3 linked regions of the Tamandua tetradactyla genome follow. The protein of the gene in region 3 interacts with the protein of the main gene of each other region in a biochemical or structural test. Links are inferred from orthologs where the notes say so. Each region holds a gene or a part of one and is shown on either strand. Other genes may lie near its edges.

What was found.
Region 1: the proteins of OIP5 (region 3) and MIS18A form a complex in vitro, tested with the Homo sapiens proteins (3 studies listed by BioGRID). The link is inferred for Tamandua tetradactyla from reciprocal best matches to the Homo sapiens genes OIP5 and MIS18A.
Region 2: the proteins of OIP5 (region 3) and HJURP form a complex in vitro, tested with the Homo sapiens proteins (2 studies listed by BioGRID). The link is inferred for Tamandua tetradactyla from reciprocal best matches to the Homo sapiens genes OIP5 and HJURP.

The regions. Positions count from the first base shown.
Region 1 is NC_135336.1:92,330,851-92,338,886, reverse strand, and holds the start of MIS18A (protein Mis18-alpha), read left to right. Parts: upstream 1-4,950; 5' UTR 4,951-5,025; coding exon 5,026-5,371; intron 5,372-8,036. UniProt on the Homo sapiens protein: Required for recruitment of CENPA to centromeres and normal chromosome segregation during mitosis.
Region 2 is NC_135329.1:210,914,103-210,921,644, forward strand, and holds the start of HJURP (Holliday junction recognition protein), read right to left. Parts: upstream 3,087-7,542; 5' UTR 2,964-3,086; coding exon 2,868-2,963; exon of another isoform or gene 2,719-2,867; intron 2,671-2,718; coding exon 2,604-2,670; intron 11-2,603; coding exon 1-10. Other genes in the region: TRPM8 (transient receptor potential cation channel subfamily M member 8), read left to right, coding at 3,197-3,248. UniProt on the Homo sapiens protein: Centromeric protein that plays a central role in the incorporation and maintenance of histone H3-like variant CENPA at centromeres.
Region 3 is NC_135340.1:54,911,246-54,918,852, reverse strand, and holds the start of OIP5 (protein Mis18-beta), read left to right. Parts: upstream 1-4,605; 5' UTR 4,606-4,801; coding exon 4,802-5,123; intron 5,124-5,387; coding exon 5,388-5,454; intron 5,455-7,607. Other genes in the region: NUSAP1 (nucleolar and spindle-associated protein 1), read right to left, coding at 4,322-4,414. UniProt on the Homo sapiens protein: Required for recruitment of CENPA to centromeres and normal chromosome segregation during mitosis.

The DNA of each region.
Region 1 (8,036 bases), on a different chromosome or scaffold from region 3:
GGCTTGTGTTACGCAACGAGAATGTATTGTCTCACAGTTTTGTAGGCTAGACGTCCAACATCAAGGTACTGGCAGGTCGTGCTTTTTTCACAGTCTGTAACATTTCTTCAAAGTCTATAGTATTCTGATGGTTTTTTTTTTGGCAAACCATAACTCAGTCTCTGCTTCTGTTCTCCACCTGTCTCTTCCTCTGGCTTCTCCTTCTCTGTCCAAACTTCTGTAGCTTCTAAGGACTCCAGTCATACTGGATTCAAGTCCACCCTAATTCAGTTTGTTCTCATCTTAGTAGCATCTGTAAAGATTCCATTTACAAGTGAGCTATTACCCACAGGACTAGGGGTTGAGATGTGAACATGTCTTGTGGGGGACATGATCCAATTCTCAGCATGTTCTGTGAGGTCACTCACCTGGTGTGTCCCTCCATGGAAAAGTGTCCTTATAAGGTAGCAAACTCTTCACAGCTCTTTACTTCTGGGTTTCTGTACCATCTCTCTCCCTGCATCTTGTGGGTTGAGGGACAGTGTCAGCTTCAATGCCAGTGACCCAAGCTCCTGCAGTAATCTTTGGGGTTGTCCCACATGCTGTCTCCACTTTTGTCATTCAACACTGTAAAGAAACTGTTCTCATAATACTGAAATTTGAATGTGCCACCTGTTTTTTGTGATGATTCTCTCAGGAAGTGCACAATTGACAGCCACTTTAGTTGCAAACAGAATCACTACGAAGACACAATAGCATACATTCCAAGGCATTAATTCACATTGAATCTTCATTCAAGGATAATCATTTTCCCCTCCCCTAGATAGGACTTACAGGTGGGCTTCCACCTTGTGTGGGAGGAGGGTGTGTGACTAGCTCTTCCCTTTCTTACTTCACCTCCTTCCTCTTGTTTCCATGGCCATCTAGGCTGACATTTCAGGGAATGAAGGGAACAGGATGGTTTCTACTTGAACTGGTTCAGTCATATGCTGGTTTTGCACCCTCTGGTCTGATACATGGTTAGAAGTGACTCCTGTTGGCCCCTCAGAGATTCTTTGTTGGGCCCCCCAGCATTCCTATGATCTAGGGAGGTCCACCCTTGGGCTGGCTTCTCCTCTCAGCCCTGGTTGTCCAGAGACCCTTTTCACACCAGGACACTTATTGCTGGAAAGCCTTCATCCTTCCAAGTTTTCTTCTTGGGCAGATCTTAAAACGGTTCTATGTTGCCTTACAATCAGCAAAGTTTAGATCTGGTTTACAGCCGCTCAGACTCACCTTTATTTTGCCATTTAGACAGCTCAACAGCCTGGCTTTCTTGCTGGCCATTTTGTCCCCAGATTCCTGGGAAACCACAGTTTCTATGAATGGTTCCTCAAAGCCTCCTCTCTGCCAAGTTGAGCAAGTGGCAGGTACCTTCCACCTTCTCTCTTGGGGAGGAGTGATGGAACTTACAGCTCAGCAACCTCCAAGGAAATCCTCACTAAGTAATTTTGATCTCCATTTTCTCCCATCCTTTATGTCCTCCAAGGCAGGAGGAGGTTCAAGAGCAGAAAGGAAATAGCTCTCAGATATTTACTCTGAAGTTTCCACCAGGGGAGGAGAACACTATCTCATTGGCACTTGGGCATTTCATTTTCACCTCCTTTTGGAGTCTCAGTAAAATATAAACTTTAATGCACTGTTAAATACATTTTTGTTGCTAGTAATTACGAGCAAACAACACAAAACTGCTCAAGCTGGCTTCCACAATAGAGAGATTCTGTTGGCTCACATAACTGAAAGAGTTCATAAGTTGGATGCTCAGTTTCTTCATGATTTTCTCAACTCTACCCTTCTCCTTGTTTTATAAGATGGTTGCCTAAAGCAACCTGGGTATGTGCTTTTTTGTTCACCAAGAGGACATCTCTTCCCTCAACCGTTGAACAAGGTGTTACTGAGATTTACTCTGATTGGGCAAGTGCTCACCCATGAGCCAATCCCTATAATCAGATTGGCTTCAGTCTGGGGTAGGTGCCATCCTTCTACCAATCATTACAGAAGAGAAATGGATCATCCTGATTAGGTCAAACCACTGGGGAGCCATTCTTGGCATTTGGGTGGTGGTGGTGGAGGAGGTAGCTGGGGTTGGACTTGGTCTTGCCCAAACCTCCTAGCTGGGTAACTAGAAGGAAGAGTAGAAATGGAGGTTCAGGAGGCAATAACTACCCAATCCAAGGTCTTCTTCCCTCAAGCATCCAAGTTTGCCCTCACATAAAATGTGATTTTTTTTTTGGAACCTAAGTACTTTATATTCATAATACAAGCATACTTGTGACTCTAGAGGAATTTGTTTTGTTTTAAGGCCAAATTCTCCAAAAGGCACAGGAGGCACAGTATTCTGAGCCCACGATATTTTTAGAGGCCAGTGAAAATGTTTTGATTTCTTTTAAAATCTGAAGGAAAAAAACTCAAACTCTTAGGTCAAAGAAAATATTTTCATATATAATGTGAACATATTTGTCTTTATAACAATGCAATCACAAAATGTAACTTTTAATTTTTCATTTACTTTTTTTTGGAGGGAAGGGACCCACCAAAGCAAGGTGCCTAGGGCCCCTGAAAGTTATCATGGGGCCCTGTTTTGTGTTTCTTCTTTACTAGGATATCTCACCACAGAATTGAAGTGTTGACAATAGGAATCCAAAGTCTGAGGCAAAGATAATCATCCCTTGAATTACAAAGTTACCACCCACTTACTTAAAGAGGACATTGCGGGTTACAGTGTTGTACCAGAGATACCATGTTTCAAAAAAGCAAGAAGCTCAGGCTGAGCTTCCCAAAAGAAGCAGAGGGAAGGAAGGCAATTCTATGGGTGAAAAAAGGAGTATCTATTTGGAGTATTTACTTGCAGTTGGAAATTAGTTAACACCAGTATGGTGCAGTAGAGAGTGGGTGTATGTTCATGTCTGTAATATCCTTTAATCCTCTTAAGATGCCAGGCAGTAAGGACCGATTTAACTGATGAAATATGAGATTCATTGAAGGCAAATGGCTTTTTTTTTCACAGTTATCCACACAGTTATTACCTGGTGGAGGAGTATGTCAAACTAGAACATCTGACTTTATAACTTTTGCTCTTTGCTAGGGGCCAAAGGCACTAAAATTGGAAGAAAGTTTATGTAAATGGTCTATCTGATCAAGCAGAGTGGCAGTGACTTGGGGCACTTAATCAAAACACCAAAGAGTAGTTATAAGGAGCGTAGGTCCTGGGGGGTGCCTTTTTCCTCTTCTATGCTGCCAGGTGGTCTGCAGTACAGCTTGGCTTCTTTTCTACCAGTCTTTCTCCTCTGACCTGTCATGCATTTAAGTCAGAGTCTGGCTTTCTGGGGTAACTGAAGAAATCTGTCCTTACTACCCAAGAAAGATTATTAAAAACAAAAAACTTTTCATGTAATTTAGGATCTCACAGCTTTATTGAAATTCATGAATCGGGCAGAATTCCATTCAGAAAGAAGGGAGCTCCACCAACGGGGTAGAAAGAGGGAGTTTATATAGGGCAACCTGAAGCAAGCAAGGAAGTGTTCTTATTGGCTAGCATCAAGTTTCCATGTCATGTGCGGTGGGGGTTGCATCCTACAAAACGCAGAGCATATATACATTGATTAGTATGGGAAGCTTGTCCATTCTGATAAGCAATCTCTACCAGATCGAAGAAACTGGGTTATCACCATGTGTTGCTAATCTGCAACTCTGTAGGGATGTGTTCCATTTTCTCTGAAAGCCTCTGCAGGTCAATTGTTTTTGTCTTCTGGAAAAGCTGTTCTGGGAAAGAGGATCCTTCCTGGACACTTAATCCAGGTGGCCATTTTATTTTACTTAACAGCATGCTCACCCGCTGGAAGGGGCAAACAGCTGTCTGCTTCTGACTGCTGAAACACTTCCAAGCTTTCCAGCACCACACTGCCCAAGCAGCTTCTTCTCTAACTTTTTCCTTACAGTGCTAGTTTGAATGACCTGAGGTCCTTTCCAGGGTCTTATTTCAGGAACAACAATGAACAAAAGGAATGACTTGGATTAGGTGGCTCCCCAACAACCCCTGCTTTCTCCACTTCAAACTAAGCCTCCCCACCCTCCCTGCAGTCTCATCAGACAAACTGAAAGAATGGAGGCACTCAAAAGTGGATCTGCCAAAATATTGAATTAAAAAAATAAAGTGGATCTGCCAGATTGGGAGAAGGATCAATGGAGAAGTAAGAGTGTCAATAGAGAACATAGGATTTAACAAAATGAGTATGACTGCAGAATCATTATATGGATATTTCGTTTAGTTTCCAGTGTCTTGAAACAGCTGGAAGGAAAACCCTAAAATTGTGGAAAACTAACCCATTTCAAACTCTGAAATCTGTTCTGTAACTACTTGTAACAGTGTGCTTTGAAATGTATTGCTTTTTTGTGTATATGTTATATTTCACAATAAAAAATGTTAAAAAAGAGAAATGCATACGAAAATACATGAACATAATCTTAAGAGAAAAGTTGTTGCTGTAATAAAAAAATTAAAATAAAAGTGGATCTGCTAATACTGGCAACATGGACACCGAGGGAGTTTGTTAAAATGCAAATGACAGGGCCCCTAAGAAACAGAATCTGTGAAGGAGATCTATGTTTCAATCAGTTCTCCAAGTAATTCTTCTGCACGCTCAAGTTCGTGGCGGTTGCTTTATTGCAAGGAGAGAAAAGGTCACAGAGGAAGTGGGGTTGCTGAAGGAGAGATTGGTTGCTGTTACTAACCAATCGGAAGGTCCTCGCCAAGGGTTGGTGATTTAGTTTGGGGCCGGTTATTTTCTGAAAGCAAACCATCCCCCAACCTTCCCCAAACTCAATTTCTTAAACATGAAAAATGAGCTACAGGCGCAGTGACCACTACGCATGCGCGCTAGCAGGCTCCGCCGTCAGGCCCCGCCCTCAGACGTCAGCCCATCTCGGCCAGCTTCGCCTCGCCCCGCCCCACGCACGCGCAATGACGATTTTCCCTTGGTGCTCTAAGGCGCGGGCAGTTCGTAGGTAATGGCGGGCTCTTCGTCACTCGGTTGCTGTAGAGGCTGTTCCTCCCCTAGCTGTGCGTGTGACGTTAAGGGCAAGTGGAGCGACTCCTCGCTCTTGGGTAGACGGCTTTCAGAGGACTCGAGCCGCCACCTGCTGCTGCAGAAGTGGGCGGGCATGTGGAGCTCCTTGAGCGGGAACCAGCGGGCGGCCGGCGCGGAGGAGACGCGGCCCGAGGAGATGGCGGAGGCTGACGAGGAGGAGACGGAGAGGCCGCTGGTGTTCCTGTGCTCCGGCTGTCGGCGGCCGCTGGGCGACTCGCTGAGCTGGGTGTCAAGCCAGGAGGACACCAACTGCATCCTGCTGCGCAGTGAGTCCGGGCTGGCTGGGGACTTGGGGCCGCCCTCTTGGGTGTTCCTTACCAGCGCGGCCGGGGAGGAGGAGGGGGTTTTTTGGGGGGCCGCCCTGGGACTTTAAAGGCAGAGAAATCTAAAAGAGTGAGATAATCTAGGAAAGAGGGAAGGGGAAAGTCACCCCTATACCTCGGGCTCACGAGAACTGGGTCCTTTTCTGGTGTCCTTCATCGCTGAAGAGTAGGGGTTGAATAAGCATCTTTGTGAGCGTTAACTAAGAAATCAGTTGCCAACTAGATTGTAAGCGTTTGGGGTGTAGCCATTGGATCTTACTCTCCATAGACACTAGGGGGCTGCTAATTAATTAATAGATAGTATTTGTTAGTGGTTTAAGAAATCAAGCTTTTTAGCTAGCTGCTTCCTGCGGAGGAATGTCAAGATTGATTTCTCAGATCTTACTGCTTGTATCAGCGAATATTTTTACAGTTCCAAGTGTTAACAGCCTTAGCAGACAAAATAGTGCTGTGGTAAAAGAAAGGCTTGCAGTAAAGACACCAACATCCCCATCAAAACTGAAGAAGAGGAGGGAGTGAAAGAATTAAGAGGAAGGCAGTACTCAACTCAGTTTGTCGCTTCTGCAGTGTTTTATTTATTTATTTGCTGTATGGTGGGGGTCACATTTCAGTCTTTTTCCATGTGATTATTTTATTATTGCAGCACTATCTGTTGAATTGTTTTTTTCTTTTTGGGAAGTGCATGGGCCACAGTATTTGTTTTAAAGAGTGGTTTTATGTGGTTCTTTTTTTCTGAGTTGGTATAAAAACAGCATTCTTTTGGACCTGTGGTTTTTCAAGATGAGGTCTATTCTCTGAAGTTCTTGTTTAAATTCTACAAATATTTTAGTGGTAGAAATACATCATCAATTCATTGACGTTTGTAGGGAGAATGTTTTCTGGACTGTAATTTTGGGAAGGAAATCTTTTTTCTGCCATTTTCAATACAGATGCTGATTAACACTTATTGCTGAGTCCTCTACAGTAGTTAAATATAAACCTAAGAACATATAGATTTCATGAGTGATGCATTGGGATTAACCTTTAGCACCTATTAAAATCAAACAGTGAAGAAGAGTATAAAAGTAAAAAGGATCCTTCCACCAACCCCCAATACATTGCCATGTCGCAGTCTTCAGAATGCTTTAGTTTCATTTATACTTCCATATACATTCCATGCATGTGAGTATGTTTTGACATGTCTTTTTAAAAACACTTGAAATCATTCATCCTCTTATGCATCTTCTTTTCTTTATTCCACATATATGTTCTGAATCTTTTTTCATATTGATGTATATAGATACATTTCATTTTTGAGCAGCTTCTTGCTGAGTGTTGATATAGTGTGGTGGAGCCACTGGCCTGCTCCTGTTAGAATTCTGGCCCTGCCACTTACTGTCTGTAACCCTGGGCAAGCTCCTTAATGAATGTCTGTATACCTCAGTATCCTCCTCTGTAAAATGGGGACAGTACTTGTGTGCAGTAATTGATCAACTGAAGACAATTCTAGAATAGATTCCCCCCCCCATGAAAGACGAAGACATTAATTCCCATTCCCTTTTTTCCCTTCTGTCCCAGTTTAAGTTAAATTATTTTACTATGTCAAGATCATAGCATTTACATTCTATTCTGTAGCTTTAATTCGTGGGTCCCTTAATTGTAGTGTAATATTTATGTGAATTCATTTCTTAATTCAAGTACGCCTAACAGTTCCCATTCTTGAATTACATGTTTTGATTAGTCATAAATGAGTACACTTTCTCCAAGAAAACTCCAGGTTTGAGTGCTTGAAAATATCTTTCTGTTGTCTTTATACATGGATGTCAACTTGGCTGCAAGTACAATTTTTTGGTCATGCTTTTTGCTTTTTCTAGGCATAGGGAACAACTAATGGAAAGAAAGTCCTTGCAGCTACTGTGGCTGAAGAATCGAATGAAGTTAAGATTTAAAGTTAAATCTTTAAGGGGACAAAAAATTCGTGTCCTTGTAGGCTATTCTAAGGAATAGGGCTTGATTCTAGTGGCTGGTAAGATGGGGTGAAATGATTCAGATTTTATTTTGTCTCTGAGGAAGCATTGAAGGGAGGAACAAATGTGAAATTGGTAGGCCAGTTTGGAGCTAGTACAGTAGACTGAGCAAGAGGTGTTGGTTGTGGTTTGTGGATGGGAAAGAGAATACATTGGAGAGAAGTTTGTGAGGTAGAATGGACAAGATTTAAGTAGAGCTGGTATGGGAGAGCAGGATGAGATGGAAGAATCACAGATGACTCTAGGTTTCCTGATTTGAGCAACTGGGTGGCTGGTGGTAACATTTTACTGAGTTAAGGTAGACTGTAGGAGGAGGTGAAATCATGAGTCCGTTTTGGCCATGTTAGGTCTGATAGGTTCCTGCCTCATTTTCCTCCATCCCTTAACCTTGTCTCAGTTTGTCAGCTGCTGTGACAAAAGCCACACAGTGAGTTTGGCTTAAACAGCAGGAATCTACTGTCTTGCTGTTTTAGAGGCTGGAAGGCTTGCTTCCTTCCCGGATCAGTAATGTTCTGGTAGGCAGTCCCTGGGTTTTTTGGCTTTCCTGTCAGGTAGTGGTGTCCTTTCTCTTTCTGGTTCCAGCTGACCCTGGCTCCTCCCAG
Region 2 (7,542 bases), on a different chromosome or scaffold from region 3:
ATTCTCAATCCTTAAGAAAAGAAATAGAAATTACCATTTTAGTCATCTGAAGACAGAGTTTCTACTAAACCTGCATTCAAAGAAACCCAGGCCAAGCAAAGGCCAGACTTCTGATATAGTCCATTAAACCTTTGATGTTAAGGCTTTTTTTAAAAATCAAGATTAGGCAAACATTTGTCATTACAGAAAACTTCTCCTACCTCATAGACAGCAACTCATCAAATTACATCATCGAGCCATCAAATTAAATGGAATCAAGGAACATACACAAGCCAGGTACTGCCCTCAAATACATATATATCGAGGACAATCTTTATAGTAGGTAGAAAGGGGTGAAGGACTTCATCTTGCCTTAAAACTACATTTTCTACTAGGCAAAGGCAAACTAAGAAAGGATCATGGCACTGAGCGGCTTGAGGTGGCTGTCAGTGATAATACCACAGCTGTGGTTGTATGGTGCTTTCTAGGTGGCAGGACCTGTTCTAGCACTTTCCAGGCAGATCCTGTTCAGTATTCATGTCAAGCTGGTGACAGATACAATTCAATACCTCTAAGGCCCTGTATGATAGGGACTTATCATGCTCATGCTATAGATGGAGACCCAGAGGCAGGGAAAAGCATACCTGGCCCAAAGTCACCTGCTATGTGGTAGAATCAAGAGATGAATATGGGCAGTAAGACTCTGTGCTCCTGACCGCTGCTCTGGCATCTGGCCTTTCCAGAACAGTAATGCCTGAGCACACGGGCTCTGACTCAAATTGAGGCTTTGCCACTTTGGCTAAGTGATACGGGACAAGTTATTTAACCTTTCTCTTTCTGCTGTATCTTTCCCTGTTAAGTGGTGATGATTCTAAGACTACCTCGTAGAGTTGTTGACAATACAAAATAGGAAACTCTTAGGGGTGTCAAGCAAAATGGTAAATTGTCACTACACAGGAACGATGATTATCTCCCTGCTATCCTCAATGTAATTGATGGGGTTCAATCTAGACCCTATGGTGTTGTCTTAACCAGGAATTCACACTACAAGGTGGTCAGGAGAAAGGCCCCTTCCCTGACTGAATGCCTCTCCGCATGAGGTCAGGGGACCCCAGGAGCTTGTGAAGTCTCTTGGGTTCTCCACTGGATCAGCAGTGAGGCCCAGGAATCTGTTTTAGCAAGCAATCTGACTTTCCATGCTGAAGTGGGAGAAGCACCGCTCTCAAGGTGTTCAGGTGCTTCAACTGTTCAAACTGGAGTCTGAAATGAGCTTTCACTGGTGAAATCAGTGGTCCTCAAGACCTGCGGAGTACAGATGGGTTGGATTCCTAAGCCACGTTAAGTCCTGAAACCCAAAGGGGTCAGCCTCTCCAAGAATATCAACTAGTTCCATCGCCCTATCCCACATTATCAACGGCTCTTTCCAACACGAAAAAGCTAGAATGGGCATAGCCCAAATGCCCCTAAAGATCGGGAGAAAAATCAAAGGAGAAGGAGGAGTTATAATAGGGAAGAGAAGATTTAACAAATAAATATGACTACTGAAACATTATATTGATACTTCTTTTAGTCTTCAGTGTCTTAGAGCAGGCAGAAAAAGAAACCTAAAATTGTGGAACTGTAACCCATACAAACTCTGAAAACTGTTCTATAAGTAATCGTTGTAGTGTGCTTTGAAATTTACTGCTTTTTTTGTATATATGTTATATTTCACAATAAAAAAACAAACAAACCAACAAAAAAACTGTGGAGAGGCCAAACCATTCTAGACACTGGCCTCCTGGCCAGAACATAGCCCAGCCTGTTGTCTGCACTCTTAGGAGCGGCACTGCACAACCGATTCCTATGCTACTGTGTCCCGCCTCTGGGTTGGATTTCCCATGGCCTGATGCAGACAGGAGAGGGGAAAAAACCTGTCTCCACCTCTTGTTAGGTTCATGTATTATGGGATCAGCCTAAATGACACAGAGCTAAGACCTTATTTAACAAACAGGAGCAATGAACTGGTTTTTGCTTGCTTGTTTAAGCCAGGCAGAATTTGATCTAGATCTGCTTTCATTATAATTAGTAGCGATTCTGATGTAAGGCGGTATGGGAGGAACTTAGCTCAGCCACCGTGAACTTTCTCCAGCTATTTACCGAGAAGAATCCATGACTAGCAGGTGATCCGACTGGTTTAGGCTAGTTTGCAACACTAACCATTTAATGGAAAGGCTTTCTCTACATTCAGATTAATTCTCAAGTAGACCCTCAAGGACTCTAGGTAACACTCCAAGTCAAACAGGGCAAATAACATTCGACTGACAATTTACTATTACCAGGTACTGTTCTAAGAGAGTCACAAACACTGTAAATCACACTTACACCACCACACCGGGTTGAAATTACTGTCATCATTCTCCCCATCTTACAGACAAAGACAATGAGACAGAGGCAGACCAAGCAACGGGGCCGAGCTGGCATGCCTAGGATGCCAGCCCAGGCAGGGTCATTCTGAACCAAGATGCATCTACTCGTCTTCAGAAACTGTTGGAAATACCTCATTTACGAGTTTGTTTTCCTAAGAGGGCACGGAGGGCATTTCAGACTGTATGAAAGCACCACTCAAAGGGGGGACCTCGTACCCTGGGGCGTCTCGTAGGTCAGCGTGGCCATCTGCACCAGCGGGGCGTCCTCGAAGGGCCGGTTGTACTACGGGGGAGGAAAGGGCGTCGCGTCAAGATCCGGTGGTCGCGAGGAGTCCCTGACTCCGGCCGAGGAGGAGTCAGCTCAAAGCCGGAAGTCTGGGGTCCCCATTCCCGACCCCCTCCGACAACCGCGACACTCAGCGCCGACTCTCGCCCAGCTCCCACCTCGCGGGACCCACCCCTCCCCGCGGCCCGCCGCACCTTCTCTAGCAGCTGCTGCATGCGCCTCTGGAAGCGGCGGCGGCTGTCCCGGAGCTTCCCCACGAGCATGGCCTCCTCTTGAGCCTCGTCCTCCATGGCGCCCGCCGGTATCACCTCGATTCCAACGCCTACCCGACCGAGCGCCCCCCTCTCAGCCCTCAGCTCAAAGAAGCCGCTACGCACCCCCACCGGCCGCCCTTCGGGCTTTCTATTGGCTGGCGTTGTGTTGCGGGGAGCTGATTGGTTCTTTCAAACCTGTTTACGTCCCTGTTTCCCAGCCAATCTGCGCTCGGGTCTCCGGGTCCCGCCGTCCCCGAGGCGCGCGTTGGATGACGGGAGAATCCCGGGTCGCTCTTCCGGTCGCTTCCGGGCCGTTTAACGGTTAGTTCCGCGCGAGAATCCTGTGAAATCCGGTCCTTTCAAACGTTGGACATGTGAGAAAATTGCAGCTTGGACATGTCAGGCGGCTGGTTTGACCGTGGCCCCTCGTCCTCCGTCACCCCAGACCCCCGCCCTGGGCGGGCTTCCTCCTGCCCCCGCCTCGGGCCTGGCGCGGCTGGAGGTGGGAGGGGTCTAAGAAAAGCTAGATAGACTAAGTTACGAATTTGAAAGGAGGCAGGAAGTGAATAGTCACTTAGAGTCAGAAAAGAAACCCCAACACATTGCACGTTTACAAATGCCAAATGCCACGGACACGATAGAGTCCGGAAAAGAGTATCTTCATTAAGAATTTCCTGAACACCCATTTATTTTATTTTTATTTTTAAACTGCATTTACTACTGCTTCTTCATGCGAGATTGCTCAGGTAACAAAATCTCTAGACAATAGATAATTCAGTGTTTCCTCCAGTATGGTTACTGGAAATTTATTTTTTATCACTGACATTTTAGGAAAGTTTTATTCAGCGTAATAGCTCATTGGAAATGTCGGGTAGATTTTTAGGCCTGTTCTCAAGGATGGGAAAGACTCAATTTTCTTTCATATGTGTGGTATAAGATTTTTGTAGAATTTCAGATTAACTTCTGCAGTGTTTTATCTCAAACAGTATTTGAGTTGTTGACTTTGAAGAGCTGCCCTAGTAGAAGGCACGCTCTTCCTGGAAGCCTTTTCTGCACAGTCTTAGTAGCCAAGAACTATAGTAACCACATGCAAAATGACTTTTTAAAATGTAAACATATCCTACAAAACCCAGTATATTCCCACCTCTGTATTCTTTTCTGGCTGGCAAAACTGCTGTCAGCTACTCCACCTAGTGGGAGGGAGGTGTGACAAAGAGGAATAAGGGAGGGCAAGGGGAGAGAAACTGGTCCCAACTGTGGCTAAAATACCCTTTTGCAAATTTTATGGTAGTTAAGGATTGTGTGTCCCCAGTCTCTGTAGGGGCTGTGCAGGAAGGAACCACTTTCACTAGCTCCATGATAAATCGGCTCTGCCCTGCCTCTGATCTCCCTTCTCTAGTGTGTCCTCTGCTGCCAGAATCATCTTTTTCATTCTTTCTTTTTAAAATGGAAATGTCCTGGTGGTTCTTTTCTGATAATACATGTCCAATGTAAAGAAATTAAAAACAGGAAGTAAAAATCCATAATCCCCCCTCTAGTCTCATGCCTGAGACATCACTTTGTTAAGATTGGTTCAACATTTTACTATGCTTATATAAACACATTTTGACATATAGAATATGTACATGTATGTCAATAGACATATATGTAGATGTATAGATATATATAAATGCAAGTGTCTGTGTTCTTATGTAAATTGTCTTTTACTTATATACCATTAGTGTATTTCAAATGACAATACATATAGGTCTAAATCATCTATGTTATTTCACTGTTTGGTGGTACCATGGTTTACTTAACTGATCCTTTTTAATGGCCATTCAGAATGTACCCATTTTCACTATAATAAGGCAGTGAAGATGACCCCAGCCTTATAACTTAAATCCTTAAATCCTCCTGTGTGGATGTTCACCTGGTAATTGATCCCAGGTACCTGGCCCAGAGACTGTCCTCTTTCAAGTTGCCCATGCATTGAGGACCTCTTGTCTGCTGACCCTCTGCTTCTGGGCTCTTGCCCTGCCCTCTGGCTGCTCCATTGGGGGCTGGGAGAAGGGGAACCTCAGTCACTAAGGTTGTGGGAGCTTGTTTGTTGGCTACAAATGAGCTCCTGGGACTATTAGGTTATCTGTACTACTGGACTGAGGAGCCCAATAGCAGGAGTGAGAATCGGCTTGAATAGAACTGTACTTCTCTTCCTCTGATCAAGATGAGACAGTAAACAGCATAAAACACAAATTCACTACAAAAGAAGGATAAGAAGAGAAGTAGAGGAGGGGAGGCTGATGAGGAATATGCTTTGGAAGCCTAATAATTCTAGGAAACGAGGTATTTTTAGAAGAAACAGAATGCCAGAGCTCAAAGCAGAGCTAATGTGATAACAGAATGGTGTGAGTGAATTGCAAGACCTGAGGAAAGAAAGGGGTTGGAAGAATAGAAATGAAAGGCACATCAGGTACAGAAGATTATTACAGCTGAAAAACAGATACAGGAGTGTTAATGAGAGGGTTGAGAAAATCACAAGAGAATCACAATGGAAAAGAGCAAAGTTAAAAAGTGAAAAGAGAAAAAAGAGGATGTATTTGGAAGCTAAGTGTTCCGGTTTGCTAAAGCTACTGGAATGCAATATACCAGAAATGGATTGGCTTTTACAAAGAGGCTTTATTACATTACAGATTTCTACTTCTAAGGTCATGAAGTGTCTGAATTTAAGGCATCAACAAGATGATACCTGAACTCTGAAGAAAGGCCGCTGGCCTCTGAAACACCTCTGTCAGCTGGGAAGGCATGTGACTGGAACCTGCTGGTCCTTGCTCCTAGTTCGTTGCTTTCAGCTTTTGATTCCAGTGGCTTTCTGCGTCCTGCGGGTCTTTTCTTAGCGTCTCCAGGTCGTTTTTCTAAGTGTCCATGGGGGTCCTCTCTTAGCTTGTCTGGAGCAATCTTTAGATTTCATCTCTTAGATTCTCTCAGCTCTCTCCAGGTTCTGGGTCCTTCAGGTTCTGTGGGTTCTTGCTTAGCATCACCTAGAACGTTCTGTCTCAGCTTTCTCCACAATGTCTCTCTCTTAAAGAACTCCAGTAAGTGGATTGAGACCCACCTTGAATGGGTGGGATCACATCTCTACGGAAATAACCTAGTCAAAGGGTCCCACCCAACAATAGTTCTGCCCCCACAAGATTGGATTAGAAGGCCATGATTTTTCTGGGGTACATAGTTTCAAACTAGCACAGTTGCTGAAAAAAAAAAAGAAAAATAGATATTTAAAAAATTATAGAAGAGAATTTGTCTGAAATAGAAGAAGACTTTAATCTGGGCATCTAAAAGGTTTACCGTACCAGGAAAATCAGTAGAGAACAAATCAAGACCAAGATATAGCTTGATGAAGCAGATCAACCTTAAGGATTACATTTTTCTTTTTTTAACCATAAGGATCCAGGTAGAGAAAGCACAGCGCCTATATGAAAAAAGTCAGCTAGTTTTTTTGTCAAGAACCCAAGGATGTCAGTGGATGGATATTAATGGAGATGTGAGAGAAATAGGATGTGATACAGGAATTTTTATCCATACAGAACATCACTCGAGTAAAAGCAATAGGAAAAAATTCCTAAATATATAAAGACTCAGGAATTAAAGCACTTAGAAACCTTTCTTGAAAAATTTACTTGTAGACATAATCCATAAAATTGGATCAAAATTAAGAGCTCAAAAATGGTGGTACAAAAAGATTATCAGGTAAAATTGAATGTAGTTAAACATAGAATTGAGTGTTAATAACTGTTATTACCTTGTTGAGCAGAATAACGTTGCTGCAATTCTTGAAAGAAATGCTACAAAGTTTTAAAAAATCGATTGGCAATAAACAACAGTTAAACTGTTGGTAGAAGAGTAAAGAAGGTGTTTCTGATTTCTTCATGGGGGGAGCTAAGTTACAAGTTTGGTTTTTTAAATTGGTCATTAAAAAATAAAAGTAGGTTGTTGTATAATAATGTAGAGGAAATAACTAGAACTGGAAACTGAAACTGAGGTCTTTGCATCCTCTCCTAGGGAGAAGGTAGAAGATTTGTGGGGTTGTTTATTTTAATTTTTGGACGGTCTGCTGTATCCCTTTCACAGTTAATACCTTACTAACATTCATCTTACTCCATGTTTGTGTAAACCCATGGTTGCTTAAAGCTGAACCTTTTCTGATAACAGCTGAGCAATACAAGTGACTGCTTAAGACTACGTCTGTTCAAAGATTAAATAATATCCTCAGCAAAGGGGAATTACCAGTTTACCTTCTTGGCATGGGAGAAGATATATGACACAGTTTTCTTAGTTATATTAGCTTATGTAGTGGTGCCAGGATATGGGAGCTCCAGATAGGTTTGATCTCCCTGTGGGAGCCTCCTGGAAGAATCTTGTGGGAAACTCATGGACAGCTTCAAGGGTGAGGTTTCTCAAGATCATCATAATCCCCCATTAGAGTCTCAGACAATTAGAAAGCAATGAGACTAACTTTGGGGATAGTGAGAAGGCACTGACAAGTCCTGTGTAGGTCAGAAACACTTGTTTCTGTCATTCTAACCTCTATCTGAATTAAGTGCCTTCGTGGAAATGACGCAGTCCTCTGTAGCTA
Region 3 (7,607 bases):
CCAAATGGGGGGAAAGAAGTGTAACTAATAAAGTATCCATGGCTGAGAGAGGTCAAATAGAGTTGAGGGGCTACTCTGGAGGTTGCTCTTATGTAATCTTCAGTTAGATACTGTTACCTATCATAACCTGCCAAACCCCAACCAGGACCATTTCAGCCAATATTAAAGAACACCTGGGGCAATATATAAGAGTCCACAATGGTTCCATGTACTAGTGTAACTTCCGGAAACCTACAACCTCCAGATGGGTACCTGGACCAGGTAAGTCCTGAAACCTAAAGGGCTCAGACTCTCCAGAACATCAGCTAGTTCCATCTCCCTACCCTATTTTATTGACAGCCCCTTATAAGACGAAAAAGTTAAAATGACTATAGCCCAAATACCCCCAAATAGAGGGATAGAAAGATCAAAGGTGATGGTGGAGTTACACGGAGAAGATAGGATTCAACAAATGAATATGGTTGCTGAATCATTAAATCACAATCTCTTTTAGTCTCCAGTATCTTAGAGCAGCTACAAGTAAAAACCTAAAATTGTGGAATCGTAATCCACATCAAACTCTGAAATATATTCTATGTGCTTTGAAATTTATTGCTTTTCTTGTATATATACATATTTACATATATTATTTTTCACAAAAAAGAAAGAAAAAAGTCAATTGTGGTGATAAAAAATATTTATTCCTTCTAGCCTCCTGTATTCTGGAGCAAAGAAAGAAAAATCTGAGAGGATTGTATGGTAGCCCATGATAAACTCTGGGATCTGTCCTGTAACTTATTGTTGAAGAGTGCTTTGAAAACTATTTCTTTTTTATTTCTTTATTTTGCATATATGTTATATACAGTAAAAAAAAAAAAAGAAAGAAAAGAAAAAAGAAAAACATAGAAAAACCACTAGTCTGCGGATCAAAAGAGAGATCCCATCGGAGGTGTGGATTTGGGATGCTTGTAGATAAATTTCAAGTCATGAAAGTAGGTGAGATCATTAAGGTAGAGAGCACACTTAGAAAAAAATAAAGTATAAGAGAGAACCCTGTGATTCGCCACACTTGGAGAGTTGGCAGAGGAAGTCTAGGAGTCTATGAAGGAGCTGCTAGTGAGAAAGGAGAAAACTAAAGATCAAAGAAAAGGAAGGGCCTTGAGCAGAAGAGAGTGTTCAGTCATGCCACATGCTGCTGATAGGCAGGGGTAAGGATAGAGATGGACCACAAGCTTTATAAGAGGTGGGGCATGGTGGCCTCCTAAGAGCAATTTCAACAGAAAAGAACAGAAATAGGGCAGCGGATGGAAGAGGACATGGGGTCAAGAGAAGGTTTTTTTTTTTCTTTCAGCTTTTAAGATGGAAGTCATAAAGAAATGATTTCCTGCATTGCAGGAATGAGCCAGTGGAGTGGGAGAAATTGGTGGAGACAGGCACTAATTGCAACAGTACAGTCCTTGAGAAAGAGAATGGTTTCCCTAGCACAAAAGGAAAGGTGGGAAGGCAGATTACGCAGGTAATGCCTACTTGAAGATTTAGGGTCATAAACTTAAATTAAATTTAGTCAATAAAGCCAGGGTCAGCTGCTTAGATACAGGCTGGGATTAAGAACACAGCTGGATTTAATCAGGTTGGAGGTTTGTCAGGTGAATATGGGCGGTGATGTGCAAGTAAATGGCATTAGAGTCGATCCCTGTAATCTAAACTGGTAAGAAGGAGGTGAGGGCGTTAAGTGAAAAGAGAAAAGGACCCAGTGGCCAAATAATAAATACCAGTAACCACCTCCTCCGTTTTGCTTCTCCATTAGAAGTGTTTCAAAAGAAAGGGCTAATATTTTTTTCTTCTAAAATTTATTTTTAATGTTATATTTGTCAAATTTATTTAATTTTTAATCTGCTAAGTATCTAAAAAGAATCAAATTATGAAAATTTCTTAGAACTTTTTTCATTTTTTGTTATGCATTTGGAATTGAAAAAGGCAACTGTTTTAATGGACACCTGGGGTGTACCAATAGTGCATAATCGAAAATTTTTTATTATGGAAAATTTCAAACATGCACAAAAGTGGAGAGAGTACTGCAATGAACTCCCATGTACCAGTTGTTCAGTTTCAACAATTATCAACATCCTGCTGTTCTTAATTTCATCTAGTCTTCCCTCTTTTCCTGGAGTATTTTATAGAAAATCTAAATATATACATTTTACTTGTAAATATTCGATATATACAACTAACAGTGCTTTGAAAACTATTGCTTTTTCCTTTCTTTGCTTTGTATATATGTTATATTATACAATTAAAAAGTTAAAAAAGAAACATAACTTCAATACCATTACTATATGCAATAAAATTAGTATCAATATAATTCAATGCCTAGTCCAAGTTTAATTCTCCCCAATTATTTCATAGTGCCTTTCTACAGTTGGTCTTATTAATGAAAGCTTGTATGGTCAAGTTTGGGAAATGGTACCTCCCAACAAATATTTATGATCACCCACTATGTTCCAGCTACTGTGTTCTAAGTAGGTCAAGAGGACCTTAATATCAAGAATTCTGTATATCTCCCTAAAATGTCACCTCTATAGAACCAGGTGGCTAATGGGCTACCCCAGATCAGCTGTGTCAAAAGACAATGCTAAGAAGGACTTTTGGTAAAAAAATTTAACCTGCCAAACTTCTTCAGAGATCCAAGTGGTGGTAGGGCCTGAGTGATAGAGCTTTGAAACTCAGGTGGGAAGCCTTCACTGTAACTCTTTTGCCAAGGAAACTAATCTCTGGTGCATTATTCTAGCACTGTCAAGAAGAGACCGTAAGGAATAGTTCTGAATAATCATTCAGCATCTCTTACATAAAATGTTGGCACTTAATAAAGACTTCCAGGTGATGGGTGAGATTCGTGCCAAGGAGCTTAACTTTTAGTAGAAGAGATAACATACAAGCACAAATAACCAGAGTGGTAGGTGAAATCCTCCAAGTGCTCAAAGCATGTTTAAAAAATAACTCTTCTGAAAGCACAGAGGGTGTCTGGGATTACTGGGTGGTGGGCCTATGGCTAAAGGAATAAAGAAGTAGGGATGAGGCATGAAGTTGGGGAAGACATTTCAGTTGGACTGTAAAGGATAACTGGAAAATACTCATGCAGATAAAGATGAGTAAGAGAAGGGGGGAGCGTGATATGAGGGAAAAGGGTCAAACCGAGCAAAGGCACAGAGATCTAACGTTCCAGTTGTTCAGGGACTGGTCCAGTCGGATTCAATGGAAAATTAAAGATTCCAGTTAAACTGCAAAAAGTGTAAGGAATTTAAGCTAAGGAATTAAGACCTTGTTCATGAACTACTGAAGAACCATTAAATCTTAAAGCACAGAGCGCTAATTATTTTTTTAAGTCATTTAGAAAACATTTGTGATGTCTGATTTAAGTATTCATTCAGTGTAAATTCCACAGCCCACAATCAGAGTATTCATTAGTATTATGTGGGAAAATCTACACTATATAGAAAAGCAATCCCATATCGAATCCCACATCCCCTCCACCCCAACATTTTACAGTCTCGTGGTCAAAGACCTTATCGGTTTTGAAAAAGAACACCGCCACAGTAGTGATCAATAAATGAACAATTAAACTAGGTGGGGGTTCAATTATAAAAATATATCCGTTGTAGGTGACCCCCTAAAAGTCATTCTTTCTGCCAGGCCTCCAAAATAAAGTTTCAAAAAATTATAGGTGCTGGGATAAAAAGAAAGAAAGAAAGAAAGATTATAGGTGCTATTACAATTTACAGAAACGTTAACTATTTCTGGAGTTTTCCAGAAGCCGAGGCAATTATTTAGGCAACTGCTTACAAATTAACTGGCATTAAACGCAGCATCCCACCCTAACTGATGCCCTGGAAGATTCGTAGCGAATTTCCAATTAAAACCAAACCACAGGGCGGGCCGCGGTGGCTCAGCGGGCGGGGTGCTTGCCTGCTATGCCGGAGGACCTCGGTTCGATTCCCGGCCCCAGCCCATGTAGCGAAAACGGAGAAACAAAAAATACAATAAAACAAGAAAATGTAAAAAAAAAAAAAAAAAAAAAAAAAAAAAAAAAAAAACCAAACCACACCTGTTTGCAGCAACTGCCCTCGTGAGTCCCAGAAAAGTTAGGTTCAAAATAAGGTGAAAATTACGGTCCCCTTTTTCGCAGTTAGAGAGGACCCCGAGAACTAAAGAGCTCATCTACCGCCTCAGGAGCAGGACAGATCCCTCATCCCTTGGGGGCCCCGCTCGGTCCCTTCCCCCGCGTCTTCCCGTGTCGGCTCATCCGACCCAGCCCACGCAACAACAGGCGCCACGAACTCCGTACCCTCAGGTTAGCCCGGAGGCCCAGACTCTTGGCCAGGTTCTGCAGGTCACTGTACTTGAAGGAGTCCAGCTCCTCTAGGGAGGGGACGGTCATCGCGATCTGCAAACCAGACGACCAGGAAGTCTCAGTCAGCACTCCCTACAGCACAGTTCAAAACTCTGGCGCCACTCTAGGCGTTGACGAAGAAAAAGTACATAGACAGTTTAAAATAAAAAACGCTGCATGTCCATTGGTTAAAAAGGTTTCGAAGGCGGAGTTCCCTGACGTTGACCAATAGAAAGGCTGATTTCTCGTCCCAGAAGACGCACGCTCCTCCCCGCCTCTCTCCAACACACACGACGGCGCCGAGGGCGTGTGAGGTGCGTCCAAGCAACGACTGCACGGCAGGTCCCGCCGTTCACGCTGTCCAATGAGGACACAGAAAGCCCTCTCGGGGCGGAGCCTGGTGCTTGTTCGAAACTGAGGCGCCGGCTGCGGGAAATGGCGGCTAGGCGTCTGCGGCATGGGCCGCGCTATGCAAAGTTACCTCAGGACGACTTTTGTGATGATGGAGCTCAGAAGGCGATTGACACACCTTCTTTTACTACCATGGAGTGGGACACACTGGTGGTGAAGGGATCCTCGCCGCTCGGCCCCGCAGGGCTGGAGGCGGAGGAGCAGCGAGGCGGCCCGCGGCTGCCTTCGTGGCTGAAGCCCGAGAGGTGCGCGGTGTTCCAGTGCGCCCAGTGCTACGCGGTGTTTGCTGACTCGGTGCACCTCGCTTGGGACCTGTCGCGGTCCCTCGGGGCCGCGGTCTTCTCCAGTGAGTGGGGGGGCGTGAGGGGAGGCGGTGTCCGGGGAAGGCAGAGGCGGGCCGGGGAGGACGTTCCGGCTTTCTCCACCGGGTGGCGGAGGGGTTGGTTAGGGAAGAAGATGGGATGAAGAGTTGAAAGGAAAACCTCCCTTTGCGATTGAGGGCGTCTATTCAAGATAATTTTATGACCACGTCAAATTTGCCTTTAAAGGGAATCCTGTCCTCTTCCACACCCCTAGAGGCATGGATTCTGACTTGTGCTTGTCTTCCTAGGAGTCACAAATAACGTCGTTTTAGAAGCCCCCTTATTAGTTGGCATTGAAGGTTCGCTTAAAGGAAGGTATGTATCGGGCATTCTGGATCCTTCTCTAGTTAGTAACAGTGCAACGGAGGAACTTGGAACTGACATGCACAAGGAGAAAACTTACTGTTTTGCGTTAGAAGAAAAGTTTATTCCATTAATATAGTATTTTTGAAGGAAGCTCTTTTTACATATTGGAGTCTTGTATGAACTTGATGTATTAATAAGGTGTAAAAGTTATATTTGTATGTAGGTTTTAAGATCTGCCTGATGGCCACATCTCCCTGTCGGTGTGTGCAAGTGAAGCTAGACTAAGAAAGATATGTTCACTAGGGGAAAAAGAAGAAAATAACCTTTTGGTTTATAGTGAGAATAACATACTATAAATTTCAATCCTTTGAGATAACTAGGGCTATTTAACATGGAGTGAAATGAGCTATACAGGACCCATTCAGTCTGTAACCTGGCAAACTGGGGGAACCATAAGTTGAGTGTAACATACTTAAATACTGCCTGTAAGATTTTCATCTTGCCTGTATTACAAGTGACACTATAGTAGTGAATTGATCTCACAGTGCTCTTCAATTTTGAATATTGGATTCAGCAGCAAGACACTTCATTCTGACCATAGGTTGGTTCAGTTTTAAGGTAAAGTGTAGTTGTTTTACTCAGTAACCAGGAGGAGTTTTCCAGCCTGAATAAACTTCCCAAGCTATGTTAGACCATAACTCTGTTTTTCCCAGCTGAAAGTCTCTATACTGGCCCCTTTTCCTCCCCAAAGGGACACAGAGAAAAGATGGGAATTGGGTGGTTTGGGATCAGAGGTAGAAGCTCTCTGAATATCCTGTTAGGGAGAAGGAAAGTGCATCTAGACTCGTGCTTATACTGTAACCACTAGCCACATGTGGCTTGTGTGCACTTGAAATGCAGCTGTTCTATGTTGAGAAATCCTCTAAGTGCATAATACACAACACATTTCAAAGGCTTGGTACCAAAAAAATTTTTTTAGCCATGGGAATTGTGGAGAAGACTATGAAATGGCACAACTCAAGATGCCTTGGTGCTCTTTTTTTAAGAGAGTGTTTTTTCATTACCTAGACAAGTGTTGGAGACTGGGTTAGGAGAATAATTACTAATGTGGCTGAAGAAACATAGGACTTGGGGGTGAGAAGACTTAGCTTCTTCTAACTTTACAGCTTAATAAGACATCAAGGATCCATCTCAGTTTACATTATTTGTTTAATTCTAAAATGTACGTTTTTTCGCTTTTAAACATCCTGAAATTGGGATGAGCCTTGCAGTTGATGGCATGTTGGATTCAGAGTCATAAGATAGGTAGATCCAAGTTTCATTCTTGCACCAGAACTCTATTATTCTGTTACTCAAAAAGGATTTCTTGTAACTGCTTTCAAAAGGCATTATTATTACAGTGTACTGACACTCAGAAAAAGCTTTGTTATCCAGAACCTTTGTTGTACATAACACAATATATACTTAAATGGATTTTAAGTAAAATACATCTAAAAAAAATTACTATGGCAAATTTCAAATATACAAAAGAGAGGAAAGTATAAGAAACTTGTATGTACCTGTCTCACAAGTAGGACAGTTATCAGCTCATGGCCAGTCTCGTTTCATCTGTAGTCATATGCTCTCCCCCCCTCCTTTTTATTTTGAAGCAAGTACTTTAAGTCATAATTCCATCTGTAAGATACTATAGTGAGAATCTCTAAGGTCGGAACTTAATTTTTTTTTTAGAAAGAACCCAGTTCAAAGTAATGTACATTATTGGGAAGCTTCTTTTCGCAGTAAGCTAAGATAGGAATTCAATAATATTTTGAGACTGGCTCTTTTTTTAAGCTTTTTATTATGGAAAACTGTAAACATACCCCAAGTAGAACTCTATAACAAGCCCCAATGTCACATGTCGCATCATTTCAACAATTATCAATATTATGACAGTTTTGCTTCATCTACACCCTGACTTTTTTTACCCTGAAGTAGTTTAAAGCAAATTCCAGACGGCAAATCAACTTTTCAACTACTTTTTGGTATTCTTTCCTATTTTCTAGATTCATAGACTATTACTGAATTATTTTACATATAATCTAGTTGACTTCATTTTACAGATAAGGAAACTGAGAAGCAGAGTATGCTGATGTATGGGAAGCATTTTCCTTCCCTGAGATCCT